3 linked regions of the Callithrix jacchus genome follow. The protein of the gene in region 2 binds, or shares a complex with, the protein of the main gene of each other region. Links are inferred from orthologs where the notes say so. Each region holds a gene or a part of one and is shown on either strand. Other genes may lie near its edges.

What was found. The genes of interacting proteins can lie anywhere in the genome.
Region 1: the proteins of TNNI3 (region 2) and TNNT2 are in contact, whole or in part, in a crystal structure (PDB 4Y99), measured with the Homo sapiens proteins. The link is inferred for Callithrix jacchus from reciprocal best matches to the Homo sapiens genes TNNI3 and TNNT2. Residues at the interface, in NP_000354.4 of Homo sapiens: Arg68, Glu71, Lys72, Ala75, Leu76, Arg79, Gln81, Pro82, Leu83, Leu85, Leu88, Gly89, Phe90, Leu93, Gln94, Leu96, Arg98, Leu100, His101, Arg103, Val104, Asp105, Val107, Asp108, Glu109, Glu110, Arg111, Tyr112, Asp113, Ile114; in NP_001263274.1 of Homo sapiens: Glu214, Lys217, Lys218, Ile221, Leu222, Arg225, Arg226, Lys227, Leu229, Ile231, Asp232, Leu234, Asn235, Glu236, Leu239, Arg240, Ala243, Lys244, Leu246, Trp247, Ile250, Tyr251, Leu253, Glu254, Ala255, Glu256, Lys257, Phe258, Asp259, Leu260.
Region 3: the proteins of TNNI3 (region 2) and TNNC1 are in contact, whole or in part, in a crystal structure (PDB 4Y99), measured with the Homo sapiens proteins. The link is inferred for Callithrix jacchus from reciprocal best matches to the Homo sapiens genes TNNI3 and TNNC1. Residues at the interface, in NP_000354.4 of Homo sapiens: Glu32, Pro33, His34, Ala35, Lys36, Lys37, Lys38, Ser39, Lys40, Ile41, Ser42, Ala43, Ser44, Arg45, Lys46, Leu47, Gln48, Leu49, Lys50, Thr51, Leu52, Leu53, Leu54, Ile56, Ala57, Lys58, Glu60, Leu61, Glu64, Arg136; in NP_003271.1 of Homo sapiens: Asp3, Ile4, Lys6, Ala7, Glu10, Gln11, Thr13, Glu15, Gln16, Glu19, Phe20, Ala22, Ala23, Ile26, Phe27, Val44, Met45, Leu48, Gln50, Glu59, Met60, Glu63, Glu66, Asp67, Gly68, Asp73, Asp75, Glu76, Phe77, Met81.

What each region holds. Positions count from the first base shown.
Region 1 is NC_133520.1:28,385,296-28,395,248, forward strand, and holds the start of TNNT2 (troponin T, cardiac muscle), read right to left. Parts: upstream 5,772-9,953; 5' UTR 5,714-5,771; intron 1,052-5,713; 5' UTR 1,039-1,051; coding exon 998-1,038; intron 1-997. UniProt on the Homo sapiens protein: Troponin T is the tropomyosin-binding subunit of troponin, the thin filament regulatory complex which confers calcium-sensitivity to striated muscle actomyosin ATPase activity.
Region 2 is NC_133523.1:48,016,189-48,025,858, forward strand, and holds TNNI3 (troponin I, cardiac muscle), read right to left. Parts: upstream 6,665-9,670; 5' UTR 6,522-6,664; coding exon 6,511-6,521; intron 6,236-6,510; coding exon 6,223-6,235; intron 6,063-6,222; coding exon 5,979-6,062; intron 5,577-5,978; coding exon 5,535-5,576; intron 5,277-5,534; coding exon 5,145-5,276; intron 4,804-5,144; coding exon 4,714-4,803; intron 3,513-4,713; coding exon 3,336-3,512; intron 1,611-3,335; coding exon 1,527-1,610; 3' UTR 1,460-1,526; downstream 1-1,459. UniProt on the Homo sapiens protein: Troponin I is the inhibitory subunit of troponin, the thin filament regulatory complex which confers calcium-sensitivity to striated muscle actomyosin ATPase activity.
Region 3 is NC_133516.1:34,979,050-34,989,074, forward strand, and holds TNNC1 (troponin C, slow skeletal and cardiac muscles), read right to left. Parts: upstream 5,772-10,025; 5' UTR 5,746-5,771; coding exon 5,722-5,745; intron 4,203-5,721; coding exon 4,172-4,202; intron 3,926-4,171; coding exon 3,779-3,925; intron 3,538-3,778; coding exon 3,423-3,537; intron 3,207-3,422; coding exon 3,070-3,206; intron 2,988-3,069; coding exon 2,956-2,987; 3' UTR 2,781-2,955; downstream 1-2,780. Other genes in the region: NISCH (nischarin), read left to right, coding at 7,337-7,429, 9,653-9,736. UniProt on the Homo sapiens protein: Troponin is the central regulatory protein of striated muscle contraction. Tn consists of three components: Tn-I which is the inhibitor of actomyosin ATPase, Tn-T which contains the binding site for tropomyosin and Tn-C.

The DNA of each region.
Region 1 (9,953 bases), on a different chromosome or scaffold from region 2:
TTCCCTTAAGATAATCCCCACTCTTTTTCCCTTGTTGCCTAGTGGGGTCCATGCTATCCTGCCCACCCTGCAATGACACCCACTAGCCCAGCCTGCCCTTCCCATACAGGGCTGCCTCCTACCATCCTCGGCAAGTCTCCACCCCAGCCGGCTTGGCCTCACCAGCATTCTGCTCACTTACTGTTTCCATCCTTGTCCAGGCTGTACCCCTTTCTAGGAAGTCCTGCCCTCTCCCAAATATCTCCTCTCTCCAAATTCTACACAGGTAGGACCTGCCTTCTCCACAGCCCCCTGACTATTCAGCCCCTGATCTCCCTCTCCTTAGAGACCCTGCACTACCAACAGCCCACCCTCCACACCGGGCCCCACTGGCTAATTTCTTCCCCCAGTTTATGGCTTAACATCTCAATGGCAGAGTAAGTTCTGTGAGGTCAGGAGCTGTGCCTAGACCTCTGACTCCTCCCTGGTGACCACCATTCTCTGTAGTTATTGGATTGGCAGTGTTCCACACCCTGGTTTCCCTCTGGGTTAGGACTGTGGGCAGGTCACTGCCAGGGGAGAGCAGGGATCCGAGACAAAGTGATAACACAGGGTTCTGACCTGGGTTTTGGGGGCACAATCAGCTCTGTAACCTCCGGAGAGTCATTGAACCTTTCTCAGTCAGTTTCCGGAGACCCAACATCTCAGCTTCTCTGTTCATGGCCTGTCCCCCAGTCAGGACAGGCCAAGGACCCTGATGACCCCAGAGCTGAACCTCTGTGTTTCCCAAAGTCCCCCAGCCTATGCTCTGCCTGGGATCTACAACCTTTATCACGGAGATAGTCTCCATATCCTGGCTACTCAGACGGAAAGGAAATGGCTATATCTCTCCCCTGGGTACCCAAAATGCACACAGCTACTTCCATCCAGAATCCCAGGGCAGCTGGGCGGCTCCCGGACCAGGTGTGAGGGTGGTGGGAGGGGGACCCCACTCAGCCAGGATGCTCCAGATACTCACTCCTCCTCGTACTCTTCCACCACCTCTTCCGTGTCAGACATGGTCTCTGCTCTCCTTCCAGAAAGAGAACACAGTCAGTGCGGGTGCAAAGGGAAGCCTGTCTTCCTCAGAAGACCTCTGTCCCCTGTCATACAGAGATCAGAGAGGCCGAGGGTGAATCTATTTCCACCTCTTATTAGCTGTGTGACCTGCAGCAAAAAAAGCCTATTTCCTCCCTGCCAAGTGGAGATAGTGACACCCACATGGCAGCAAGGCCACCTGCTGATGTCCACTTCATTCCTTGCCCCTGAACAGGCAATACTGCCTGGGATGCTGTTTCCCATTTGTAACACTCAAGACAATGTCTGCAGTTTCTCAACCTTTCCTTCCACACTGCCCACCCCCACTCCACAGGATCTGTTTAGCTCTGACCTGGGAGAGTGGTCAAACCAACTGTAGCATCTGTACCGTGGAATACAACTCAGCGATAACAAGGAATAAACTGTGTATGCATACAACAACTGGCATGCACCCCCAGGGAATTCATCTCCAGGGAATTCCACTGATTGAGGAGAAAAAGCCAACTCAGAAAGTCACATACTGTAGAATTCCATTAGTATAACATTCTTGGAATGGCAACACGGAGAACAGATTCGTGGTTGCCAAGGGTTCTGAGGCAGCTGGGAGGGGCACGAATGTGGCCGTGAAAACACACGTGGACCGGGTGTGGTGGCTCACACCTGTCATCTCAGCACTTGAAGGGACTGAGGCAAGAGGATCCCTTGAGCCCAGGAGTTTGAAATAGCCTGGGCAATGCGGCAAAATCCCGGCTCTACCACAAAAACAAAAATTAGCTGGGCGTGGTGGCGCATGAGTATAGTCCCAGCAACTCAGGAGGTGGAGGTGGGAGAATCTCTTGAGCCCAGAAGGTTAAGGCTGCAGTGAGCCATGGTCCACTGCACTCCAGCTTGGTCAGAAGAGTGAGACCCTGTCTCAAAAAATAAAAAGAAAGAAAGGGCACAGGAGGGATCCTTGTGGTTGGGGATCTTTTCAGCATGTCCACTGTGGCGACGGACACATGAACCCACATAGGTTAAAGTTGTATAGAGTTTCACACACACACACAGGTGCGCACACACACACAGTGCAGTGCAATTGTGGGCAAATCTGAATAAAATCATAGATCAGTTGTATTGATGTCCAATCTCAGTTTTAATATTGTACTAGTTTTGCAAACGTTGCCCTTGAGAGAAACTAGGTAAAGTGTGTAAACACTCGCTGTTAAAGACAACTGTGTATTAGTCTTTAATTATCTCAATGAAAATTCCGATTAAAAAAATGTTCCCCGGGGAACTCATCCTGAGATCATCTTCTCACTGCACCGGGAACAGATAATCTGGATTCAGATCCTCTTCCATTAGCTTGCTAAGGGTGTTTAGGCAAGTCTTTTTAACATCTCCAGACCTCAGTCCTTCCTCTGTCTCATGGAGATAAAGTGTCCACATCCTGGCTACTCAGGGTCTTTGTGAGGCTCCAGTTGACATTAACAAAAGGGGAAGGCATTAGGCAATGTCAGGTGTTGCAGTGCGCGTGTAATCACAGGGAGGGGGCAGAGAGCAAGCACTTGAGTGTGAGACTAATCTCGCTTTGAATGCTGGCTCTAGCATGCGTTTGCCTGCGACCTTGGCAAGGTCGCTTAGCCTCCCTACATCTCAGCTCCCGTTGCTGTGAAATTGCTGTTCTTCTTGGGCAGGTGTGAGGAACAGAGCTGGTGTGCAGTGTAGGCATTCAGCTAATAAGTGCTGTGACCCAGCCCTCCTGGGCCATGACAGTGCCCTGCTCCAGGGACCCAGTCACATTGTTGGAAACGTGAACAGCAACCCTGTTGCGGTGCAATAAGCCAGCCCCACGACCTCCCTGATGTCGGCTTTCAAGGGAGAGAATGGACAGTGCAATGTGAGAATGAGGCCAAAGTGAGGGGGGAGAAGAATCACAGTGATGCTCAGGACCACCCTCCAATGCTCCTCCTCTGCTGCCCGCCCCCTGCCCCACTCACATCTGCCAATGCTGCAGCACCAGTTTCAGACCCAAGGGGCAGGATGAGGACAGAGGCACACAGAGAGTCCTGCTCACTCCCTCACCATCTCTCCCTGCACATCTCCCCATAGTGGCTGAGAACAACCCCAGGCACTCATCTGTGGACATCCAGCAAGAGCCAGGGCTCTGGTTAGGTGGGATGATGTCTGCCGCAAGGCAGCCCCTTTGAGGCTGAGTGGTTCCAAGGGAGCTGCCACTCCCCAGCTGCCCCTCTGGGTAGAGACTTCTCCAGACTCAGCACCCACTGCAGCCCTGGACTAACTGTCTTCAGACCCTGCTCCCATTATGTCCAGTCCTGCTAGGTTAGGGACAAGCAGGGCAGCACCGGAGCGGTCCCTCCACTGTTCCCTCTGCTGGAGCAGGATGACGACAGTGAGGGAGGAGCCCTGTTTACAAGGAGCTCTGGACAGTAGCTCTGAGCCACTGTTTTGCCCCAACATCCAGGGTGGGGTGGGTGGGGGAAAAGAAGAGAAATCAAATGTTCGAGGTGTTATAATGGGGAATCAAGCCTCATTCTGCTGAAAAAAAGACTCAAACCCCAGAGAGTCTCCAAATGAGTCTTAGGATGGGTGTGGCCAAAGAATAGCCTTCCTAACCCCAGGATGGGTGTGGGTGACAAGTGTTGCCCAAAGCCCCAGGGGAGCTGCCAGAACTGGTGACTTGAGAACTTGAGGTGCTGCTACCTGAGCCCCAGGAGGAGCCTGTCCCTCAGTGGGAGGGAGAAAATTCTCGGAGGAACCTCATAGCTCCCAGCTTTCTCTCCTCTCCTCCCCTGGCCTTCCTCCAGTTCAGAGCCACTGGGCATGGTGCTGGGGCTCAGAGGAGGACAGAGTAGCTTGACTCCTCTCCCTGTTCCTGGGAGCACCATTCAGCTCCCAAAAATAGCACGCAGACATGGAGGATGGAGGAGGGCTTGCAGCCAGCCCAGAGGACACCACCAAGCCAGTGGCTCAAAGGCAGGACCTGATGCAGGGGAAAGAGGTGGCTGAGACTGGGGGCTGCAGAATGGGAGAGGGTCCAGGACCTGATGCAGGGGAAAGAGGTGGCGGAGACTGGGGGCTGCAGAATGGGAGAGGGTCCAGGACCTGATGCAGGGGGAAGAGGTGGCGGAGACTGGGGGCTGCAGAATGGGAGAGGGTCAAGAACCTGGCAGGGCAAGGGAACAGAATGTCCTGAGACACCTGTGTCCTCGCACCCAAGCCCCACCCACTTCCACAGGCAGCTTTCCAGCCTAACACGTTCACAGCCAAGAGTCACCTTTCTCGGGGAGTAAAGCAAAGACAATAGAAGGCATAAAGCACACCGACCTTCTGGTCAAAACGATCTGGGTTTAAAACTTAGATTTTGCTGTATGGACTTATTTCAGTCACTTAGCGTCTCTGACTTCAGTTACCCAACTGTAAAACAGATGAGGCTTCAGTTCTGGTCTTGTAGAAAGAGTCTCTGAGTTTCTGAGGAACACGGGCCCCGCCCCTCAATCCCTGTCCCCAGCATTCAGCTGGGATTTTCCTAAGCCAACAGTTGTTAGGCCACCAGGAAAGTGAAGGTAAGAGGATGGGGAGAGGGCAGGGGGAGTGGAAGCGGGGGCAGAAAGTAGGGGCAGCAGGCAACCTGATCCTCTCAGATTGCCCTTTTGCAGAGAGACAGAGTATTTGCCCTGTAAGACACGGGTCAGAGGAGGAATTTGGGAGGGCAGGTCGCTTCCCGGCTACGGCAGGCCAGGAATGTGCTCTGAAATTCCTTACATGCCCGGCAACCCCCTCCCCAGATAGTCCCCAGCCTGCCCGGAAGAAACTAAAAACCAAGGGAGTCTGTCTCTACCACTCCTGGGCATAGAGCAAGGCCTGTCCCAAGAGGCGGTGTTGGGGTGCAATGAGACAAGGGTTACACTTAGGGACCCAAGTTAAACCCTTTAATGCTAACCAGCTGGGCTCATGCCCCAGTAAAGGTTCTCCCAGCAGGGCCTTTGCCCATCTGCCCCCCAAGTGCAGCTCAGTTCCAGGTCCTGTCTGGGAGCAAGTGGCACTGAGTCAGGCACATCCAGTGGAATTCCTGCGTCAGCCTGGAGAGGCGCTGCAGCGGGCCCTACACACCGTCTTTCCTAGTGGGACAGCTTCTGAGTCCCTGGCCTTGAGAATATGACCAGGGGACTCACCTGACTGACAGGGCTGCAGTCTCACTCTGCTCTCTGGGGCTCAGAAGAACCTGCCTGGAAGGTATAGGTGCCCCTCGGCCTGGAACAAGCAATCTGGGGGAGTCCCTTTTGGTTAGAGCCCCATTGTATTTAGAGCAAGCAGAAGCCTAGCAAATACTTAGCCCACTCTACAGATGAGAAAACTGAGGAATGGGGAGGGAAAGTAACTCATCCAGGAGTCCACAACGCTACATCTTCAGCGGCAGGCCCTCTGACACTGGTCTCCAACGGCTACCATGAGATTCTCTCTCTCCCTCTGCTCTACTGCACTAATCTTGAGCCCAGTCCTGGCAAGCCCTCCTCTGAAGTGTGGCCTCCACCAGGAGGGGCCATGGATGTCTGCGGACAAAGGCGGACTCTGGGTAAGAATGCCAGGGCACAAGACCCTCACATCACCCCATCCTTTCTCTGCTCGCCCCTTCCCCAGAGCCATGCCCAAGCCTTACCTCAGCACAGCAGCTGCCGACAGATCCTGGAGGTGTCTGCTCAGCCTCAGCAGGGACTGGGTGAGGCAGGGGATGGAGAGGGCTTTAAGCAAGCATGTGGGCTGGGGCCCGGTGAGCCAGCCCTGCGGAGGGAGGAATGCGCGACGGGGGACGGGTGGGGCAGGGGGATGGCAGTGGGGGTGGGGGGGTGTTGGCTGCTATTTTGGCAGGTGCCAGGGACAAGGCTACAGGAACATGTACCCCACGCCATATAAGCCCATGTGGTCCTCCAGCTGCTCAGATAAGCTATTTAAAACCAGAGCAGATACGCAGAGAGCAGGCATGCAACATAAACCAGCTGTCCTCCTGAGAATCCTGATAAAGCAGAAGCCGACAACCCACACCAGGGAGGGCCGGCCGGGAGCAAGGCTGGGGACAGAGGTAACCTCCAAGACACTCCATAAGTCTCAGCACCAGGGTCTTGGAAGGCAGAGGACAAGAGCTGTGTGCTGCTCCACTTGAACGGATGCTGGGGGTAAAGACGTCTTCTGGGCTACTGGCTCCTAATGGGCGGAGCAGCCTTGGGCAGGTTGCCGGCTCTACCAGCCTCAGTGAGGACATCTGCAAGGTGGGTCTTCTCCGTGACCCCCAAAGCCACGTGGCACACCCTCCTCACAGGCAATGGGCTTAAACTGCTACAGGAGGTCAGACACAAGGTAGAACTTCCAGTCAAGAACCTTGAATAGCCGGCTCATTGTGTGAGCATGATGGTGAGGACTGCCAAAGGTCATCCCCCAAAGGCTTTAAATCAACCAGTGCAGGACCATGATCTGCCAACCATACTAGACTGCAGACGCAGAGGTCAGGGCCAGGGGTATGCGCGCTTGCCTGCGTCTGACCATGCACGTGCACATGTATGTCCAGGGCTGGCCCATTGCGGGTTCGGTAGATGATGAAAAAGAGAGAGGAGGAAAGCAAGCCAGTGGGCAGCTGAGCTGACACTCCCTCCATCTCTCTAAAGCTTCACAGCCTAGGTCCTGCCTGGCTCTGGACCAGGCCCTCCCCTCCCCCATGACTCCCCTGGCACTTCCAGATCTTGCCATTCATGACCCACACTCCTCTGTTTCTCCATGGACAAAGAAAGCAATTCTGCCATTCTCTGCCATCTTCTCCCTTCACACAACCATGTGTCCTGCCTTCCCAGTCCTCAAAGTCTTTGCTGTCCCTCTACCTCAGGAGCTACTATGCTGCCTCCACCTCTAATGTCCTTGAAAAGGTCCTCTGCACAGGGCACTTCCATTTGCTCCACACCCATGCTGCTATCAGACCCTTGTCCCGTCACTCAGCTGACTCCATCCCTTCCATGGCTCCCTGTGGCCTCTGAGTCCATTGGCCTTGAATGGCCAGCTCCAGGCTTATCCCCTGCCACGTGGGCCTCCACGCTGCCAGCAGACCCATGGCAGGGCAAGCTGAAGCCAACCACCTGCTGGCCAGCATTGTGAGACTGAGGAGGCCCACAGGGAAGCAGGGAGACTTTGTAGAAAGAGAGGCAGATGAAGGGACAGATTCCCAAGGGATGGTGAGGAAGGAGCCGGACTATCCACAGGAAAGTGAGGGGAGCCCCCTCATTCCTCCGCCTCATCCTAGCCCATGAGCAGGGCCAGCCTTGCCTTGGGTCCTAGCCTGGAATAACAGAATTTATCAGCACTTTTCCCAAACCCTTTTTTAACTTGAAGGTGGGTTACTGCTCCTCATAAGTCAAATAACCCTTCCAACAGGCCACAGTTTATTTGCATGAATGCCTACAAGAGGGCTCTGTGCACCTAGATCACTACAGAGCCCCATGGGAAAAGCCCAGCGGATCCTTGGTGTCATGGCCCACACGCGTACAGCTTCTAATTGCTCTACAGCAGGAGCTCCATTCAGAGCGCTGAGACAGCCACTCAGATGAGGAAACCCAGCCCCCAGGCAGCAACCACTCCTGGGCATAGCAGGGTTACTTCCAGCCCATTTGTTTGATGTCCCTGTCCTTGCAAAGGGATGTAAAGAGAAAATAGAGCCAGAGTGGAATGGGAAGAAGCTTATACTGAAATGATGCGTGTAAATTTGAGGCTCCACAACAGGACGGGGCCACTTGTGGGGTCACAGGGCCCCTATGGCCAGTGAGCAGGAGGGTGGGGCCAGGAATGGTGAGTGGAAACACTGTTCTGTCTCCAGAGGGTGCCCAATGTCACCCCTCGAGGCCTCCGCCCCACCCAGACACCCAGTTGCTACCACTCATCTACCCCCAGCTGAGGTCATCTTGGGCACACCCTGGTCTCCTTGTTAACTGGCTGTGTCCCCAGCAGGAATGAGGGCAGGGCCCTCACTTCTCGGATTCACAGGGGAGGGGAAGAGGCAGTGCTGTGGTGCCCCAGGGCGTTTCCCCTAGCAGCCCGCCCTCACTGGGCACCGAGGGCGGGGTGCAGGTGTGAAGGCCCTGCCGAGGCTGCAGCTGCAGGAACAGGCCTCTCAGTGTCCTTGCAGGCTCTTACTCCAGGGTTAGGCCCCACTGCCAGGAAAGGCTTCCAGGAGACTCTCTTGACTGTGTGTGGGGACAGTTTTGCTTACTGGGAAAGTTCACCTGTCAGGAGGACTTTACAAAGTTTAGGGCTGCCAGGCGCAGTGGCTCAGGCCTGTAATCCCAGCACTTTGGGAGGCCGAGGTAGGCGGATCACAAGGTTAGGAGTTCGATACCATCCTGGCCAACATGGTGAAACCCTATCTCTACTAAAAATACAAAAATTATCAGGGTGTGGTCACATGTGCCTGTAATCCCAGCTACTCAGGAGGCTGAGGCAGGAGAATCCCTTGAACCTGGTAGGCGGAGGTTGCAGTGAGCTGAGACCACGCCACTGCACTCCAACCTGGGCAACAGAGTGAGATTCTGTCTCAGAAAAAAAGTTCAGGGAATGAGCATGTGAAAGTCCTCTGAGGTCATCTGCTTGAGGCTGGGAGAAGGGAATGGCTCAGGGTCCCACCTGAGGTCTGGGCAGAGCCAGAGATCTTTAGACGTCCCGAGGCCCCAGGCAGGACTCACCTGCTCCTCAGCTCTGCCCCAACCTTGTCCTTCAACTCTCGGCTGTGAAGTTAGAACATTCACAAAGCTCCAGCCCCAGCAGTGGGTGGGGGCACTCGGGGCAGGGCCCCCAGGTCCCAGTATCCCTCACTCAGGCACAGAAGACTCACTGGCCGGAGGTGGGCCAGCCTGGGGCACTGGGACCTCTGCATATGGGGCTTTGAGGGCCTGTCCCCTGGGACACAGATCGGAGGAGCCCTCACCCATTGTCACAGAGTGGGGGTAGAGCTCACCTCCCACACACCTGGGGAACTGGACTAGTGATACCCTGAGGAGCCGTGTTAAGGGTCGTGCTCTGAGAAGCTTCCCCAGGCATGCAAAAGGGAGGACTGGGCAAGGGGCTCTGCACCTGGCTGCACCCCCGGCTGCTTCTGAGCAAAACTAAAGTGGTCAGTCAAGACGGGGAGTTCTAATGATGAAAACTTTTGAGAAGTTTTAAACTATAGCCTTAAGGGGTTAACACGGCACCATGCTGATGTTCCTAGCTTGGTTGGTTCTATATTCTGATGGTTCATCATTCTCCAAGCTCACAGGGGCCATGATGTTAGGAGCATGGGGAGGGGGGCTGGAAGGAGTCTGTGCGGAAAGGGGGTAGGCCTGGCCCTGTATGTGGCAGTTCCGCAGTCACCAAGCTAGGATTGTGGAGCAACAAGCCACCACCTTAATGTGAGAAGAGTGGGGACTAGGAAAATGACGATCCTCCACCCCAGCCCAAATAATCCTCACACACTTCAGATGATCTCCGCTAGAAAGCAAGGCCTCTAGAAAGAAAATCACTTTTAAGGTCTCACCAGTCAATTGCACCTGAGAGTGAATGAGTTTATTAGATTCTTCCTGAGAGCAGGTTTCTCAGAGAAAGGGTAAGTGGTTGCACACAAAAAGGCACTTAGCTCCCGGCCAGGGCAGCAGGCCAGGGAAGAGAGGGGAGAACAAAGCAGGGAGACAGGGCATGTGGAAGATGCACAGCAGCTCCTTCCCAATCTGAACAGAGTGAACCTCGGTGGCTGGGCACAGGTCCCAGGGACCAAGATGGGTGGGCCCAGGCCTCGGTGATGGAGACATCACAGACACTCAGAGGCACTTGCTGGGAGCCGACAAGACAGGTGACTCTGGAGTTCTTGAGGATGCCCTGCCCTGACCCTG
Region 2 (9,670 bases):
AGGCACACACCACCATGCCCAGCTAATTTTTTGTATTTTTAGTAGAGATGGGGTTTCACCATGTTGACCAGGATGGTCTCGATCTCTTGACCTCGTGATCCACCCACCTTGCCCTCCCAAAGAACTATGTTCTAATTGCCACAAGGCTTTCCCTCTTTCTAGCAACTAAACAAGCCCTCAAGATAAGCAGTATTACAATTGCAGCCATGCAATGCCAGATGCTAACTAACTGAACCCCTGTTCCACAAGGCATAACCGCAGCATCCATTGAACAAGAGACCGATTTCAGTAACTTTTTCCCAATAAGAGGCCATGGACCATGGACTCGTTCTGTTGACAGAGGCTGTGTGCTGAGTACCTTCATGTCCCTGCTTCATGTTTTGACATGAATACATTCAGTGTCATGCACTGAAATGTTAAGCCTCCACTGCAAAGTGAGTATGGGATGCATGTAAAATGCCTGTTTACGGCCGGGCCAAGCAGCTCATGCCTGTAATCCCAGCACTTTGGGAGGCCAACAGGGGCAGATCATGAGGTCAGGAGTTCGAGACTAGCTTGGCCAACATGGCGAAACCCCGTCTTTACTAAGAATACAAAACTTAGCCAGGCATGGTGGTGCACACCTGTAATCCCAGCTACTGGGGAGGCTGAGGCAGGAGAATGGCTTGAATTCAGGAGGCAGAGGTTGCAGTGTTCCGAGACTGTGCCACTGCACTCCAGGCTGGGTGACAGAGCAAGACTCCGTCTCAAAAAAAAAAAAAAAAACATGTTTGCTTGTCACACATATATGTGTCCACCCATCCATGAATATTCATAGCTCCTTCTAAAACCAGTTGAATACATGTACTTAGCCAACCCTACTCAGCATAAATTCCCACCTTGCCCTTTCCTCGCTTAAAGCACCTGCTTTTTGTTTTTGGCACGAGGCCATGATTCTAGCCTGCAGGTTGTGATCCGCTTCTTAAGAAGCAAAGCTCTTGCCGAGTGCGGTGGCTCATGCCTGTAATCCCAGCACTTTGGGAGGCCAAAACAGGTGGATCACAAGGTTAGGGGGTCAAGACCAGCCTGACTAAGATGGTAAAACCTCGTCTCTACTGAACACACATAAAAATTAGCTGGGAACAGTGCGGGCACCTGTAGTTCCAGTTACTCGGGAGGCTGAGGCAGGAGAATTGCTTGAACCTAGGAGGTAGAGGTTGCAGTGAGCCAAGATTGTGCCATTGCACACTCCAGCCTGGGCAACAGAGTGAGGCTCCATCTCAAAAAAAAAAAAAAAAAAGCCCAAAGCTCTCTTTTCCAAATTCATGATCCCTGGGATTCTCTTCCATAACAGAGCCAAGAGTGCTCCATGTGGGAGACTCATCCAATCCCCGACCTGCTGTGTAGCTTTGGGGGAGCCCTGCCCTCAGTTTTCCCATCCCTTTCATGCCTAAGCCCTGGGTAATAAACATGAAATAACTTTCAGCTCTGGGAGAAGCTTTATTCCTCAGGGCCCTCCTCAGGGCCGCGGCAGTAGGCAGGAGGGCTCAGCCCTCAAACTTTTTCTTGCGGCCTTCCATTCCACTCAGTGCATCAATGTTTTTGCGCCAGTCTCCCACCTCCCGGATTTCCTGGAGGATGGTGATAAGAGTCAGAGGTTAGGGTCTCTTCCTGGTCTGCAGTCTCTCAAGAATCCCCACCTTCCCTCCAGCCTGTAGGGCCATTCTACGCTGGATGTCTGTCCAAGTATCTAGTTCCAGAACACTTCCTGTCCCCTCAAGACAATCCCTGCCAATTTCCCCATGCACTTCCTATCTCCCTCATGTACTTCCTGTCTTTCCCCCTCCACTTCCTGTCTCCCTCATGCACTTCCTGTCTTTCCCAACCCAGTTCCTGTCTTTCCCCCTCCACTTCCTGTCTCCTCCCTGTACTTCCGTTCTGTCTCATGCACTTTCTGTCTCCCTTGTACACTTCCTGCTTTCCTGCACACTCCTTCCCTTATACTCTTCTGTCTTCCCCCTCTACTTCCTGTGTCCCTCATGCATTTCTTTTTCCCCTCCCCTTCCTGTCTCCTTGCACTTCCTATCTTCCCCTCCATTTCCTGTCTGCCTCATGCACTTCCTGTCTCCCTCCCTCCTTCCTTCCTTCTCTTCTTTTTTTTATTTTTTATTTTTTAAGACAAGAGTCTCCCTCTGTCACTAGGCTGGAGTGCAGTGATGCAATCTCAGCTCACTGCAACCTCCACATCCCAGGTTCAATCGATTCTCCTGTCTCAGCCTTCCAAGAAGCTGAGACTACTAGCACGCCACCACGCCAGCTAAATTTTATAATTTTAGTAGAGATGGGGTTTCACCACGTTGGCCAGGCTGGTCTTGATCTCTTGACCTCAGGTGATCTGCCCACCTCAGCCTCCCAAAGTGCTGGGATTACAGATGTGAGCCACCGTGCCCACCCCTCTTTTCTTCTTTTTAAAGATAGGGTCTCACTGTGTTGCCCAGGCTGGAGTGCAGTTGTGCAATCATAGCTCACTGCAGCTTCAATCTCATGGGCTCAAGTGATCCTCCTGCCTCAGCCTCCTGAGAAGCTACACACCACCACCATGACTGGCTAATTTTTTTTCTTTGAGATGGAGTCTTGTACTGTTGCCTCGGCTGGAGTGCAATGGCATGATCTCGGCTCACTGCTACCTCTGCCTCCTGGGTTCAAACGATTCTCCTGCCTTGGCCTCCTAAGTAGCTGAGATTACAGGTGCCTGCCACGATGCCCAGCTAATTTTTTGTATTTTTAGTAGAGACAGGGTTTCACTATGTTGGCCAGCCTGGTCTCGAACTCCTGACCTTATAATCTTCCCCTCTCAGCCTCCCAAAGTGCTGGGATTACAGGCATGAGCCACTGCATCTGGCCAACTGGCTAATTTTTAAAAAAATTTTGTAGAAATTAAAAAAACATTGTGGTGGTGTGCACCTGTAGTCCCAGCTACTCAGGAGGCTGAGGCACAAGAATCACTTGAACCCAGGAGATGGATGTTGCAGTGAGCTGAGATGGCATCACTGCACACCAGCCTGCACAGCAGAATGAGACTCCGTCTCAGAAAACAAAAGGAAACTAAAAAAAAATTGTTTTAACCTCGAGGATGACAGGCACGAGCCACCGCACCTGGCCCTTCACACACCTCTTTACTCTTACATGGACTTCCTGTAGCCCTAATGCACTTCCTGTCTTCCCCTTCTACTTCCTGTCTTCCTCTTGCATTTCTGAGGACCCCTAGTTGTGTGCCCTCAGGCCAGGCCCTAGGGTTTTGGCACGCAGCGCCCCTCCCCTCAGCATCCTCTCTCATGGCCTTAGCCTACACTCACCTTCTCGGTGTCCTCCTTCTTCACCTGCTTGAGGTGGGCACGCAGGTCCAGGGACTCCTTAGCCCGGGTCCCCAGCAGCGCCTGCATCATGGCATCCGCAGAGATTCTCACTCTCCGCAGGGTGGGCCGCTTAAACTTGCCGCGAAGGTCAAAGATCTTCTGGGTCAGATCTGCGATCTAGGGGCAGCCATACAGACAGGTGGAGACATCTCCCTCCATTTCCCCCTCACCCAGCTCTTCCATCCTACGCTCCATTTTTATTCTCCTTATCCTGTCTTCCAGTACCAAAGCTTCATCCAGTATCTTCCTAGCCTAAGCTCCCAGTCTAACCTTTTTTTTTTTTTTTTTTTTTTTTTTTGAGACAGAGTTTCACTCTTGTTGCCCAGGCTGGAGTGTAATGGCGCGATCTCAGCTCACTGCAACCTCCGTCCCCCAGATTCAAGCGATTCTCCTGTCTCAGCCTCTGGAGTAGCTGGGATTACAGGCATGAACCACCAAGCCTGGCTAATTTTGTGTTTTTAGTAGAGATGGGGTTTCTCCGTGTTGGTCACGCTGGTCTTGAACTCTCAACCTCAGGTGATCCACCCGCCTTGGCCTCCCAAAGTGCTGGGATTACAGGTGTGAGCCACCGTGCCTGGCCTTTTTTGTTTGTTTGTTTGTTTGTTTGTTTTGGAGATGGAGTTTTGCTGTTGCCCAGGCTGGAGTGCAAATGGCTCGACTTTGGCTCACAGCAACCTCTGCCTCCTGGGTTCAAGCAATTATCCTGCCTCGGCCTCCCTAATAGCTGGGATTATAGGTATGTACCACGAAGCCCGGCTAAATTTTTTATTTTTAGTAGAGACAGGGTTTCTCCATGTTGGTCAGGCTGGTCTTGAACTCCCGACCTCAGTTGATCTGCCCTCCTCGGCCTCCCGAAGTGCCGGGATTCAGGTGTGAGCCACCGCGCCCGGCTCATCCTCTCCCAGTCTAAGCTTCTAATCCTGGAACTGAATCACCCTCCCAATGTACTCCAGACTCACCTCTCAAAACCAGTGGCACAACCTGGTCCAGCTAAGTGCAAATCACAATTCCCTGGCCAATCACATTTCCAGGACCGCAATTCCCTGAGCTAATTTACCAACATGTGATGCCCTGAACATGTCCACTAACACATTTTCTGTTTCCCAACCCGTGGCCTCAAATGTGCTGTTCCCTCTGCCTGGAGCAGCTTTCCTTGACTATATCACACTCATCCTTCTGCCCCAGCCCTGCCAGGCTCACGGTTGTCCTGGGTCTCCTGGGATGTGCAGCCAAAAGCAGCTACAAGGGGTCAGGCTGAGACCAAGTCCCAGGCATCTCACCCTGCCCTGAAGGTACCCAAGCTGCCCATGCGTCCCACCTCGGTGATGTTCTTGGTAACTTTTGCCTCTATGTCATATCTCTCTTCATCCACCTTGTCCACACGGGTGTGGAGCTGTCGGCACAAGTCCTGGAGGAGAAATGTGGCGTGTGCTGTTGGGGGAAGCCTGGGGGCCTGGAGACCTGGATTCCTGGGTCTGAGGGAGGAGGGGCTGGGGGCCTGGGCTCCTATCTGGGAAAGGAGGGCCAGACGGTCCTGAAGGAGCAGATTGGAGCCAGGACTCCACAGACCTGCAAACAAAGGGTGTTAGGGGCCAGGAGTCCCACGAACCATACAGAATTGGGTAAGGACAGTCATACTGGACCCCTGGGTCCCGAGCAGAAGGGGGAATAGGGACTGTACTGCTGAATTCCGGGGACTAGAAACCTCGGATCCCAGGCTGGGCGAGTCCCTGCCTTGGGAGCGGGTACCTGCAGCTCCGCGAAGCCCAGACCGGCCAACTCCAGCGGCTGGCAGCGGGTGCTCAGGGCGCGCCCCTTCTCTCCGCGCCGCTCCTCCGCCTCTCGCTCCAGTTCCTGCTTTGCAATCTGCAGCATCAGGGTCTGCGGAGAGGTGTGAGGGAAGCGCAGCCCAGCCAGGGCATCAGAATAAAGACCAGGCCTGGGGAAGCCGCCTGTGCTCTTCCAGCCACTGGAGTTCGGTCTCTACCTTTCTGAAGACCCGTCTGCCCGGAGCGGGACTCCCCGCTAAAGCCACGGCCCGAACGTCCAAACCCCGCCCACTTGCCCGAAGCCAAACCCACTACCAAGCTCCGCCCCCTGGGCAGCTCCAAGCTCCTTTCCTCTCCCGCCTGTCCTCACCTTCAGCTGCAGTTTTCTCGAGGCGGAGATCTTAGACTTTTTCTGCCAGGGTGAGATGGAGCAAGGAAGGATCATGGAGGGGGATCCGGAGACGAAAGTGGAGGGGGCCTCACGACACCCCCAGCAACCCCAGCCGGTCCAGATTTGGGCCCGCCTCCAACTTAAGCCCTGAGTCTACGGGAGGCCACGCCCCTCATTCCCATCCACCAATCCGGGTCTCTGCCTTTGGCTAGGCACTGCCCATCTATCCCTAAGCAAGTCTAAGGGCAACAGAGCTCCGCCCGCAGACGGCTCTCACCAATCCGAGCTCGACCCTCTGCAAAACTCCGCCCCTGAAGCGCCTCTACGTAGGCCCCACCCCCTTCGCTGCCCTGGCTCCTCCCCGCGCCCCCAGGGTCTCGGGTCTCTACGACTGTACTCGGCCCCCTGGAAACCCCGTCCCACCTTGGCGTGCGGCTCCGTGGCGTACGCGCGGTAGTTGGAGGAGCGGCGTCTGACCGGGGCTGGTGCGGGGCGAGGTTCCCCAGCCTGGGGTGGGAGGAGTGCGGGCCCCATCACCACCAAGACCCTACCCAGCCCTCACCACACCACACCCTCTCCTAGGGCGGCAGCCTCCCCCCAGACCCCTTACTGCAGTGCCCGCCCCGGCCCTGGGGGTCCCAGCCACGCCTTAGCCCGCTGCTCTCACCGCATCACTGCTCCTGCAAGGAGAGAAACCGGGGAGGGGGTTAGTGGTGGGCTGTGTCCTGTCTGTCTCCTAAGGGACCCGGGAGACCCCTCTGACCGAGAGGTTGGGGGACACCGCTTCCCCTTCCTCGGGTTCCAGGAGTCTGACTCGCGAACCCACTTCCTCTTTTCACCCAAGAGTCCCAACCCTATCTCCCGTTGCAAGCCAGGGGTCCAGCCTCTCAGCTCGGACCCCTCTTGGGACCCCGGGAGGTCGCCCCAACTCTCATTGCCTTGGGAAGTCACTCACTCATCCGCCATGCTGAGACTCAGACCCGGAATGGCAGGAGGCAGGGCGAGGACAGGGACTTTCGGAGGGTCAGTGAGGGGGCGGCCCGGGTGACCTTCAAGGTCCCAGGGACCGTGAGTCTCCTCCGGGCTGCTCCAGCCTCCCCGAGGACACTGAGATAAAGGGCGGACAACAGAGACTAAATATACTGCGTCCTCCTCCCCCCTGCCCACCATGCGAGATAATGGGGCGCGTGAGGGGCGGGGCGGGCCCTGCTCCAGCTGGATCACCAGCTACCTCGGGGCACAGGAATCCAGAACCTTCTCCCTCGGATCCTGGAGTCCTAGACCTCTCCTCCCTCAGACCCAGAGAATGCCCTTCCTCCCAGCCACCCCCTCCCTCAGACCCAGGACTCCGGGGGACCCCAGCCCCTCCCTCAGACAAGGAGTCTGGGCCCCCAGCCCCCTCTTCCCTCAGACTCAAGAGTCTGGGCCCCCAGCGCCTCCTCCCTCAGACCTGGGAGTTCAGGCTCCCAGTCCCTCCTCCCTCAAACCCAGGAGTGGAGGCCAGCAGCCTCTCCTCCCTAAGACCCAGAAGTCCAGGCCCCCAAACCCTCCTCCCTCAGACCCTGGAGTCCAGACCCCAACCCTTCCTCCCTCAGACCCAGGAGTCCAGACCCCAACCCCTCCTCCCTCAGACCCAGGAGTCCAGGACCCCAACCCCTCCTCCCTCAGACCCAGGAGTCCAGGACCCCAACCCCTCTTCCCTCAGACCCAAGAGTCCAGGCCACTCAACAATGTTGTGTTTAATTTGGAGTGCAGCTGTGCTGGGGGCCCACTCTCAGCCTGCAGCACTGAGAAATCCATCTCTTGTCCACTCAGAAACCCAGGCACCTGGTTTCTGACTTCCTCTGTCCACCACTCCTAGGCCTTTCTCCCCCAGCCCTGGAGACAGACATAGGACAGCAAAGACAGTTGGACACACGGAGGGGTGGACACACTTGCTTTACTCAAACCACCTGGGTGCTGACCAGGCCCTGGTGAGGAGAGACCCTAGACCCCAGGCAGCCACAGGGTACCTGGGGACAAGGGGGCAGAAGTCAAGGGCCTGAGACTCAGGGTCAAATCCTGGGCTGGGCTTAGAGTCTCTGAAGCAGAATTTGGAATTCTGAGAGAACAATCTAGAATTCTAGGAATAGACCATAGAATCCCAGAAATGGAATTTGAAAATCTAGCAACACCCCTGGGGTGGGGGTGACGGGTACTGAGTGGGAATGATGAGAATAAACGTGAGGGCTCCAGCGGCAGGTTTAAAATGGTATCAGCGGCTTCTAATTCTACAACCTGACTTTGGAAGCTGGAGATAAGGGGCGTCTAGGGGTCAGGTCAGACTCCAGTTTTGGAGTCTGACTCACTGTCGGACGGGGGCAAAGCCCCTGGGGGCAGAGCCAGAACCTTGGAGAGAACCTGGAGATGCAGAGGGCAGCTGGCAGGGCTCAGAGTGGGGTCCCGCCCTGCAGAGGTTCGGTCAGGTCCTCGGGGGCGGGGCTGCGGGCCTCAAGAGGCTGGGCCAGGACTTCAAGGGGCAGAGTTCTGGGTTCCACAGCTGGGTCAGTGCCACCCAGAGCCAATTCCGGGGACTTGCAAAAACGGGCGAAGGTCTCTGAGGGCCTGACCCCGGCCTGTGGAGAGAATCCAGCTGCCTGAGCCAGCTCCCTGACCCGGGTGTTGAAGCCCTGCAGCTGCTCCCGCCGCACGTCCACCAGGTACCTGCAGATGGGAAGCGCCATGTCAGGGACCCAGATTCGGACCCCCAGCCAGGACAGGCCCCGCCCTCCACCCCACTGGCTCACCGGGCTAATTCCACAATCAGGTTCCCTCCCGGTGCCACACAGGCCCCAAGCTCAGGGCTGAGAAGATGGACCATCCTGCAGAGAGGACAGAGGACAGGCTGAGATTCAGCTCCAAATCCACGGGGAGAACGGTGCTCTGGGAACCCAGACACTGAGGGAGGAGGGGCTGCAAAACTGGAGTCCAGGTCCTGGGGAAGAAGGGGGCAGGAGGTCTGGACTCTGGGGTACCAGGAAGGAGGGGCTGGGGCTGGACTCCTGGGTCTGAGGGAGGAGGAGATGGGGGTATGAGGGAGGAGGGGCTGGGGCTGGACTCCTGGGTCTGAGGGAGGAGGAGATGAGGGTATGAGGGGAGAGGGGCTGGGGCCTGGACTCCTGGGTCTGAGGGAGGAGGGAATGGGGCTTGGGCTGCCTCCCCACTTACCCACAGGCCACATAGAGAAGCTGGAACCGGCCATTGTAGCAGCTCTTGTGGTGGAGAGTCTGAGCAGAATCGAGGGGTAGGAAGTGGATGGTGAAAGATTCCGGGGTGGGGGCTGCTGGGGAAGGTGATAAAGGGGTCACCTCTTGTAGGTGCTGCCATGAGGGTGGAAAGCCAGAGACATACATAGAGCTGGGCAGAGCTGGGCAGGCACTCAGGGCTTGGAGATAACATTCCTTGTCCCCTTGAAGCTTTTAAAAAAATCTTTCCTCTGAGGTGGATTTCTGGAAAATTCTGGGAAGGTCAGCCCAGCAGGCAGAGACCCACTGTATAGATCAGGCAACTGAGACTCTAGAGAGGGAAAGAGAGTGGGTGGCCAGGGCCACATGTGACATATCCTGCCCGACAGACACTCAGGGAGGGCCAGGTGGGAGGATGGCTGGAAGGAGGCCCAGCCAGGGTCTGGGGTCCGGGATGGTGTCCAGGCAGGAGCTGGGGCCCAGAACCCGGGGAGAATACTCTTGGATAGCATAGACCCCTGCAGATAAGACTAGAATTCTACTACTGGAATTAAGAATCCTAAGCACGCTCTCAGGATTTAGGAGAGAGAGAAAAACAGACAGAATGTCAAGAAGAAGCCGACATTGGCCCCCGCATTCCACATCATGTCAGTCCACGCTCCAATGTGAAATGCGTGGAGGGTGCAGTCCCTGGCTTACCTGTTGTCCTGGCTTACCTGCAGTCCCTGGCCTACCTGCAATCCCTGGCCTACCTGGAGTCCCTGGGTTACCTGGAGTCCCTGGCCTACCTGGAGTCCCTGGGTTACCTGGAGTCCCTGGCCTACCTGGAGTCCCTGGCCTACCTGGAGTCCCTGGACTACCTGCACTCCCTGGCTTACCTGCAGTCACTGG
Region 3 (10,025 bases), on a different chromosome or scaffold from region 2:
TCACTGGGCTGATTCCACCAGCATACAAGCCACTCCCTTATCCCTTCTTTTTTTTTAATAGAGATGGGGTTGTTCAGGCTGGCATTGAACTTCTGACCTCAGGTGATCTGCCCTACTCGGCTCCCAAAGTACTGGGATTACAGGCGTGAGCCACCACACCCGGCGGATTTCTTTTTCCTTAACCCTTCTTAAACAAGCTTCCCTGGACCCCACATCACAATCTCAGCTCCGGCCCCTTTCTCTGTTGCCCACACCCGCCATTACCCCTGTATCTCAGCTCACTCCTGTCTGGCTCCCATCCCTCCCATCCCTGTCTGGCTCCCATCCCTCCGCTCAGGCGGCCAATGCCTCAGGGTCTGCAAGTTCCCAAACCCTGGGGACATCAGCTGTCACCCATGCCTCTTCCTTCCTTCCTGGCTCCCAGGGCCCTCTCCTGGGCTGCCCACGCAGAATGCCACCCATCCACAAACTCTCAACCCAGGGCCCTTGTTTGTGACCAGGGCCAGGAAAAGGCTTCCTACTCTGATGGCATCTACGTTCACAGGGCTCACTCTGTCCTTTCCCTTAGCTCCCGCCTGGCTTTGACCTTACCATCAGCCTGTCTCTGGGGCATCTCAACTTTGACACAGACCAAAAAAAAAAAAAAAGAACCTCCAGCACCCCACTGTATTGGGAGCCACTGGGCTTTCTTGCCCAGAGCCTGCCCCCGTTTCAGGCCAGCTCCTGGCTCCCTCTCTCCCACCCCTTCTGTCCTCTGCAGCCCTCACCCCTCACATAAACTGGGTCCTCAAGAGGCCTGGCACTGCCCATGTCTCCCAAGACTGGTGGGGCTCTGCTTCCAGCCCAACACTGCCTTTCTGCTCCTGAGACCTTCCCAGTCTTTCCCCATGGCTGGTTCCCTGTGGTTCCCCTGGATCTCACAGTGTCAGCTCCTCTAGGGAGCTTTCCCAGACCACTCTAACTCATGGGCCCACCATGCCTCCAGTCTCCACTCTAGCCCGTGCTGGTTTTCCCACTGTACTCATCTCCTTAAAACTCCACCGATTGGCCAGGCACAGTGGCTCATGCCTGTAATCCCAGCACTTTGGGAGGCCGAGGTGGGTGGATCATGAGGTTGGGAGATCGAGACCATCCTGGCCAACATGGTGAAACCCCATCTTAATAAGGCCAGGTGAGGTGGCTCACACCTGTAATCCCAGCACTTTGGGAGGCCAAGGCAGGCGAACCACTTGAGCTCAGGAGTTTAAGACCAGCTTGAGAAACATGGTGAAACCTTGTCTCTACTAAAAATAAAAAATTAGCCGGCTATGGTGCCGGGGGCCTGTAATCCCAGCTACTCAGGTGACTGAGACATAAGAATCACCTGAGCCCAGGAGACAGAGGTTGCAGTGAGCTGAGATCATGCCACTGCACTGCAGTCTGGGTGATAGAGTGAGATTCTGTCTCATATGTCAGAAAAAGAAAGAAAATTTCATCAGATTAGGGACTGGGCCTCACTGTGACAGGCCCCAGCACCCAGCCCTGTGCTGGGCACATGGTAGGTACATGAATGAACCACTGAGTGGCGCACTGGCTGATGGTGCTGCTCAATGTGGCCCTGCCTTCTCTCCTGGGATGCCGTCCTTCTTGGGTCACTCTGGGTGCCTGCAGAGGTCCCCAGTTCTCCAGCTCACAAGGGCAGGCCTGAAGGGACCCTTCTCCTCTCCCCTCAGGTCTCTCCAGGGTCCAGAAAGCTCTTGCTAGCTCTGGCCTCCACTAGAGGCATCTTTAGAATTCCAAGACCATCTCTGGAATGCCAGGCCTGTCTGGGGAATGCCAAAGCTGGGGCACAGGTGCAGAGACAGTGGAGTGGCTGGGTGGGGCAAGGACAGCTGGCAGCATTCTGGCTGCACCCTGCGCACTGCTAGCAGCTGTCCCTCCTGCGAGCGCTGCCGCTGACACCTCCACTTCCTTGCAGCCCCCAATGCCCACAACCCTGAGGCAGCATCACTGCATGGCTGCAGCTCTGGACTGGGCGCTCCCACTAAGCTGAGAGCTGCCAGGCCCTTGGGCCTCCGTCCCTGTCAGGGAGAGAGACTGGGCCACAGGAAGCAAGACTCTGAGCTTCACAGGAACTGGAAATCAGGCCCATTTGGACGTGGCCCATCCAACAGGGCCCTTGGCTGGAAGCCAGGTGGCTCTGCTCTCTCCCACACTCAGTGGATGACCTTGACAGCTCCCTGCACCTCTCTGGGCCACCTGTCAAACAGGTGAGGGGAGGCAGAGCCGAGTCCATGCCCCTCTGTCCCTGGGAGTCAATGCTGCTGGCAGGAAATACAAGTCAGATGGCAGGTGAACTGGCACTGTGGGCCTGCAGGGACCCCACAGGCTCAGCTCCACTCCAGCCATGGCTGAAAGACCGCAGAGGGTTGCTGTGCCACGGAGCATCCAGGGCCTAGCTGTGTATCACAGTGAACACTCTCTCCAAGGAGAGGACCCCTAGGCTGCCACGTGGTTGACCAAAGTGATGACCCCCAGGAACTTGTTAAAATGTAGGTTCTAGACACCCCCAGACTCCAGATGCTGACTCCCAGGAGATAGGGCCTGGGCATGAGGAGTTATAGAGGGCATGCCAGATGGGAGTCTCCAATCTCATGTCACCCGCCACAGAAGGCAGTGTGGAGCCACAGTCCAGTATCAGGCTCTGCAGTCACCACGCCTGGGACAGGGAAGGAAGTGGGTAAGAGTGGGCCCTGGGGAGCAGTCCATGGCCTGGGGACACCAGAGCCAGACAGCAGGCCTCCAGGGAGCAGGCTTTATTTGCATCCCCCAGGACGGGGCTGGGGAGGGAGTCGAGGGATCTGGAGTTGAGGACATGACCAGACTCAGGTCCTGGGACCCCAACCCGCTCCCCAGCCCCAGGACTCGGCTGGAGTTGAAGGCTGGGCATGGGCAGCTCTGGGTGAAGGTCGGCATCTACTCCACACCCTTCATGAACTCCAGGAACTCTGTGGAAAGAGGGGCAGGTGTGGGTCAGGGGTGGGGCTGGCAGGGCACAGTGGCAGGGGATCAGCCCACCCACCCGCTTACCGTCGTAGTCGATGCGGCCGTCGTTGTTCTTGTCTCCATCCTTCATGAGCTCCTCGATGTCGTCCTCCGTGATGGTCTCACCTGTCGCCTGCAGCATCATCTTCAGCTCCTCCAGGTCAATGTAGCCATCAGTGTTTCTGTGGGGAGGGGGCCCAGGGTAGGGCTGCAGGGAGGGCAAGAGGGACCACAACCATGCCCCCTAGGAAGAACAGGGACGCTGGGAGATGGGGCATCCCTCTCCCCCATCAAGCAGAGGCTGCAGGGTCCCTAGGCCTAGAATCTGAGACTGCCCTCCTAACCCCAGCTGGGCTTGAGTGAGGGTCAAGGTCAGGGGTCAAGGGTCACGTGCTCACTTGTCAAACATGCGGAAGAGGTCAGACAGCTCCTCCTCAGATTTCCCTTTGCTGTCGTCCTTCATGCACCGAACCATCATGACCAGGAACTCATCAAAGTCCACTGTGCCACTGCCTGGGAGGCAGTTACAGAGGCCAGGTTGGAAACTGCAGGTGACTCAAGCCCAAAGAGTGGCCACAGAAGCCTGGCATTTGGTGTGAGGATGCAAATGCCAGGCTTCTGTGGCCATTATGCCCATTTTCTAGATGAAGCAACTGAGGATCGGAGGGGCTAAACCACTTCCGGCTAAGCAGAGCCAGCATCCCAGCCCCACGCTGGCTGGGCTTCCTCTAGAGCCTGGGGAGGAGGGGCTCACCATCCTCGTCCACCTCGTCGATCATCTCCTGCAGCTCCTCAGGGGTGGGGTTCTGGCCCAGCATCCTCATCACCTTGCCCAGCTCCTTGGTGCTGATGCAGCCATCCTCAGCGCCCAGCACGAAGATGTCGAAGGCTGCCTTGAATTCTGTGTACAGAGGTTGGGGGGCACAATAGCCAGGGCTCAACAGCCAGGACCTCAGAGGGCCAGACTCCTGGGGCCACCTGCCAACCTGCCCACCTCCCTCAGAGACCTCTCTGAGATCAGAGCAGAGGGACCTAGCCTTTGGTCTCTGGTCTGTGCTCCTCTTCTGGTAAGGGGTCCCCACGTTCCCCAGCCTGGTCTCCCAACCTGGCCCTGGTGGTCTCCCGCACGTGTGATAGGGGTTCTCACCATTTTTCTGCTCTTCTGTCAGCTGCTCTACCTAGAAAGGAAAGGGACTCTCAGGGCTCAGCCTCACACATAGCTGCTGCTGCTGAAACCAACCCATTCCACAGGTGAGAGCTGCAGCTGGGGAAAGCAAGCTATTTCCAGGCCACAGAACAGAGGTCTCAGTCCTCCCTCCCTCCCCACAAAGCCCTGATGTGCCCCAGCTAGCCTCACTAAGACTGGGCTCAGGGCCAGTGTGACAGGTGGGCACCCCCTTCAGGGCCAAGGTGACCCTCAGTAACAATAGTCAGTGACCACTCAATACCCTTTTGGCCCGTGATGAAACTCAAGCTGGGTGGCCCAAGGAACAGCTGTCCCTCAAGTTGGGACAATAAACCAATGTGGGGGTAGACAAGCTACCCACTGTAACCTGACCAGGGTGGCCACTGGGCTATTTTTAACGAGGAACAAAGTTAAACCTGGTGATTGTTCTGGGGACTTTGGCATGCAGGGGGTGGGGCAGTGTTATCTGGCCCCCTGTCCTACTAGTGCCGCCTCAGGAGCCAAAATTAGTCCCCAGCTCCGCCAGGCCTTGTATGGGCACTGGGTGGAGGGCTGCCCCCACCCCAGCTTCATGGACTCCCACAGGATAAGCAGGCATGCCCCCAGAGCTGGCTGTAGCCCTTCCCTGCCCAGAAGTGAGGGAGGCTGAGGGAGGGGTTCCCCTGGGGACAGCTACCCAGGCCAGGATGTCCTTGTTCTGGGGTAGTGGGAGGTCACCAGCATCCAGGAATGGAACAGCATCTCAAGTCCCTCAGTGACCCAGGAGGCTGCAGGGGCTTGGGGTGACCACTCTCTAGCCCTCATTCCCTCATTCTCACCCCCAGCTAAGCCACTGAGCCCTGAGCCTGCCAGGCACGATGGGGGCTGGGGCCTCAGTTCTCTGTCCCTTCTTCCTTGGTTCTCCCTCATGTCCAAAACTTCCCTGCCTCGAACTTCAAAGCCCCATCTCCAGCCCAGGACTCAGGCCCCTCCCCTCACACCCTCCACCCTCCAAAGCATCTTCGACCAACCAAAGGGCTGGAGTGGAGTGGCAGATTGTGAGTGTGTGAGAAGCAGAATGTGAGGGGCAGAAATGGAGGTTGGGGACAGGGAGACAGTAATAGGGACTCAGAGAGACAACTTAGGAGGAAGAGAGATGAAAAAAGAAAGGCAAAAATGTCCAGAGACAAATGCAGAGACATGTGGCTGAGAGACAGTGCCACAGACTACAGACACTTAGAAACAGAGTGAGACATGATGCTGAAAGTGGCGACCTCCTCCACCACCCTTCAGACCTCAACTCCCACCCCTTCTGCATCTCCAAACACCAGCTTCCCTTCAGACCCTGAGCCCCTACCCCTTCTGCATCTTCAAACATCAGAACCACTGTCCCTGTGAGGGCCTGGGTTGAAGGTACAGAGACTCTCTCCTGGGCCCCCACCGCTTCCTTGGGGCTACCAGCCCCCCATTCTGAGATGAGTGAGCCCCCAGTGGGCCTGCCCAACCCAGCCCTACCCAGCCCTGTCCCTCACCGCAGCCTTGTAGATGTCATCCATGCTGGTGGGTCACACGACAGCCTGCTGGGGTTGCCAGCCGGCCCTCGACTTAAATAGCCCTGCCCCCCCCCCCACACTGCATTCCCAGCCAGCCCAGCCCAGCCCACCCCTGCGTGTAGTATCCTCCAGCCCCTCCTCTGGGCCCAGTGATGTCAGGCTGGCCTGAGTCCCTGCGTCCTCTGCCCAAGGCAGGGAGCAGATGAAGTGCTACAAGAACCAGGTTTCTTTCGCTCCTGTCCCCCACACTCCCCAAGGGACTCTGAAAAGGTTTCTGGAATGAATGAAAGCATGAGCCCAGGGCAGGACAGGAGCCACAAAGTAGTGGGCCCCAGGCAAGGCCCCTGCAACACAGCAGCCCAGGCTCCCACCAACCAGGGAGGCCGGTGCTATGACCCCTACCTTCCAGATAAGGAAGCTGAGGCTCTGGAAGAGTGGTGGCTTGCCCAAGATAGCCCCTGCCTTTAACTCAGCCTCTCTGGAATGGGGTGCAACGTGCAAGTGGGGGTTGGGAGTACAGGGCCCTGCCAAGATAAGCCTCAAATCCCAAGCTCAGAGGACGATGCTAACCCACCTTAGGGCAGGGTAGTCAGGAGCCCTTCTGCCAGAGGCGCCTGCCCCAGACCTTCCATCTGCCCAGGGAGAAGTGCCCCCTTCGGGCTTCAGTCAGCTGTTCTGTAATTCAACAGCACCCCCACAGATGCCCCATCTGTGCCAGGCTCTCTCCCTCCTCACCCTCCAGTCAGGTTACCACCTCCCTCTTCTAGGTCTCATCTTCCCCTGGTTTAGGACTCAGTTCCCTATTCTAGCACTGTAGTTCGTGGGTCCAGGTCAACGTGTCTCCCTCCTGTTTTGAACTCTGACAGGCCATCCCGTGAGGTTCCTGTACCCATTGGCAGCACACACCCCTCCCACCTCCGTCTCCGCCCTCCTTCGTACAGAGCCCCGTCTTGATAAACACGTTCCTTGCTTCCAGCACTACTGCATGCCAGGCCCCGCATGAATCAACCCACTCCGTTGTCAAGAAGCCCCACTGACAAGAGCTCTCCGAGTCTCGGAGAGGTTCAGAACCGGCCCAGAATCACTCTCGCCCTACTCCAGCGATAAGCACAGGTTCTATTTCCACCTCCAGCCCGTCTTGCCCTAAAGAGAAAGAGCCCAACAGCCAAGTGAGGCGCCATTATGGCCTCCTTTATCCGGAGGAGTAAACTGAGGCCAGGAGGAGCAGTGACTTGCTTCGTGTTGCCTGGAGGCTCGGGACCTTCTGTCCTCTCTTCCTGAGAGACTAAGGGGCGATTCCCAGAGCGGTCACCACCCGAGAGGTCAGTTTCTAGCAGGCTGCGCAGGGTACCGTTGGTGGCCCCACGCAGGTAGAGATTACGCAAGAAAGCGCTGCGCACGCGCGCCGTGGGCGGTGCCTGTCAATCACGCACGAGGGGCGGGGAGAAGGCTCTGGAAGGCGGCCGGACTAAGATGGTGGCACAGCGCGCGGTGGGGGCGTGGGGCAACGGGGGCTGGGGGGCGGTGGGACGTTGACCCCGCCCCCTGCTGCGGCCTGTCTGCGCCGGGCGGCGGCGGCGGTGGAACCCGGAACATGGCGGCGGCGCGCAGCTTCGGGCCCGAGCGGGAAGCCGAGCCGGCCAAGGAAGCGCGCGTCGTGGGCTCCGAGCTCGTGGACACTTACACGGTGTGTTGGGGGCGCGGGCACTCGAAGCGGGAGTGATGGCTGAAACTGGGAGTCCGACTTGGGGGGCTTGGTGAGGGGTCCGGCATCCGCAGCTTGGAGGAGGGGGAAGAGGGGTCTGCGATTGCGAGGAGGAGGCTGGGCCCCGCAGGTCCGGGAGAAGAGTTGTTGGGGCCCGGGGAGGCGGTTTGGAAAGCGGTACGCGATCCGAAAGGGAGGCTCGGGTTGGGGGCGGCATCTGGGGATAAAAGGAGCCTGGAGAAGGGGAGTGTCTAGATGAGACGGAACCCCTCTAGGACTGGAGGGGACCAGGCCTGGAAGACCGTTACTGGCGTCCTGGAGGAGAACGATGGGGAGAGGGTCTCTTACGGATGGAATCAGGGAAAAGGGGCAGGCTCCGCAGGCCTTGAAGAGAGGAGGAGCCCAGACCCTGGTCTGGAGAGCCTGAGGTCGTGGTTGAGATTTTCTCTGAGAAGTGCCGGAGCGACCTGGGGACCTAACGCCTTGCGGGTCTGGCGGAGACCGGAACGGAGGAGGGGTGGAGCCCGGCTATGGAGAAATGGGGATGGTCCCAGTGCTGAAGCGCAGACCCCCGAAACCTTAGGAATCTTCGTGACTTTGGGCTGTGGGAGCGAGAAGGGGCAACAAGCTGCCCCCACACACTTCTAGGCTATGGGGGGCACAGAGGACAAATGGGGGGTAGTCCCCTTCTCTGATGGGGTTGGATGCCAGGCCTATGAGCCTGGTGGGCTGCCTGGCAAAAAATGGCCCTGGGCTACGCATTGAGCACTTCCCTGCCTCCTGCCCTTTGTTCCTGCTGGGTAGGGAGTGGGTCGGGGCCTTGGCCCTCCCTGCATCCCTAGCCCTCATCCTAACCTCCCCATCTGAGGGCCATTCTACTGGCTATCTTCTTTCCTGAGGGCACGGGGAGGGAATCGGGCCGGATGGGAAGAGGAGAGGGGTGGATCCTGGAGCAACAGGCCAGCCTGGAGAAATGGCTGCTCCTCAGGGCTGAAGGAGGCTTCAGCTCCATGCGGCAGAGAGGCGAGGGAACGGAGACGGGTGAGGTCTCTGAGCTGATGGCTGGCTGGCCACCACCTATGGGCACATTCAGCCAGAGGGCCATCTTCAAAAAGCTCTCCTTATTCTGGGCTGCGCCCCTCCTCTGCATGTATGTCGGGGAGGTGGTGATCTAGGTTGGACCCTACCAGCCTCTGTCTCCGGGTGTGCCGAGTTGGGTATTATTAACACACCTACCTTTTGAATAATTGCCATGGGTCAGGCCCATGTACAAAGCATTTTACATGCATTTCCTCGCTTGATCCTTGATTCTAAGATGGAGGAATTGAGGCTCACAGAGAACTTAGGCTTCAAGTTACTTACATAAGTGACACATAAGCTGCAGGAAATGGCAGAACCAGCTTTTGAACCCAGGCCTGCCTTAACCTCTAGGCCATTTTGCCTTCTGTTAGAGCTTGGTTGCCACCACTCCCTCCCGACGTCAACTGCTTGTGCCTTGATTCCTGGCTCAGTAGCAGAAATCACAGCCATGAACCAGTTGAAAGGGTTGGAAAAGGACTTGCTTCCAGGAGGTAGTCAAGGCACCTGGAAAGAAGTACAACAGAGAAGATGAGGCTAGAACTGGCCCTGCTCTGCCTCCCTTGGATGAAATGGTCTTGCCTGCAGCTCAGGCTGGCTTCTGAGTTACCTAGAAGGCAGGAGGTAAAAAACTAAAGAGGTGACTTGTGGTGATCACCTTTTTCTTTTCTTTTTTTTTTTTTTTTTTGAGAAAAAGTCTCACTTTCGCCCAAGCTGGAGTGCAGTGGCACAATCTTCACTCACTGCAACCTCCGCCTCCCAGGTTCAGGCAATTCTCCTGCCTCAGCCTCCTGAGTAGCTGGGATTACAAGTGTGCGCCACCATGCCCAGCCAGCAGTAATCACATTTTTCATTCCTTACTGATGGATGGAGCCACAGTCTTGTCCCGAGTGCCTCCCAGCCCTAATACCTGGGCCCTGGAGGCTCAGAGGGGACCTGCTGCTCAGCAAGGGTCAGGTGCAGAGGCTGGTGGGCCAGGGCAGCCTGACTTTGGGTCTGAGTTGCAGAGAGCAAGACTGATAAAAGATAATTGGGAAAGATAATTGCAGCTTTTGCTGCAGGAGGAGGGGGAGGAGACTCCTTGTTGCAGGCTCCCTTGTCACAAGGACTGTCGGTTTCCTCTTTTAGGTTTACATCATCCAGGTCACTGATGGCAACCATGAGTGGACAGTAAAGCACCGCTACAGCGACTTCCATGACCTACATGAAAAGGTAACTGTTAAGAGCTGGATACATGTATCTCAGGGGTAGAGGGGCCCTTTAGGCCAAGTTTCCATTGTGCCACACATTAGTTTTAGGGCAAAACAGGCTCCATGTCTATAGTTCACTTCTTTGATAAACTACTTTGTTAATATAACTGTGTTCATTAGTATAGCATATAAATGTTAGCCTTCAGCTCTAGCATAAGCCAGTCTGCTAGGAGCATATTTGAATTTCAGTTTTAATTTTTCTAGTCCTAGCTTGGATACGAGATGCTGAGACAGTTTCCTGGGGAGGGGAC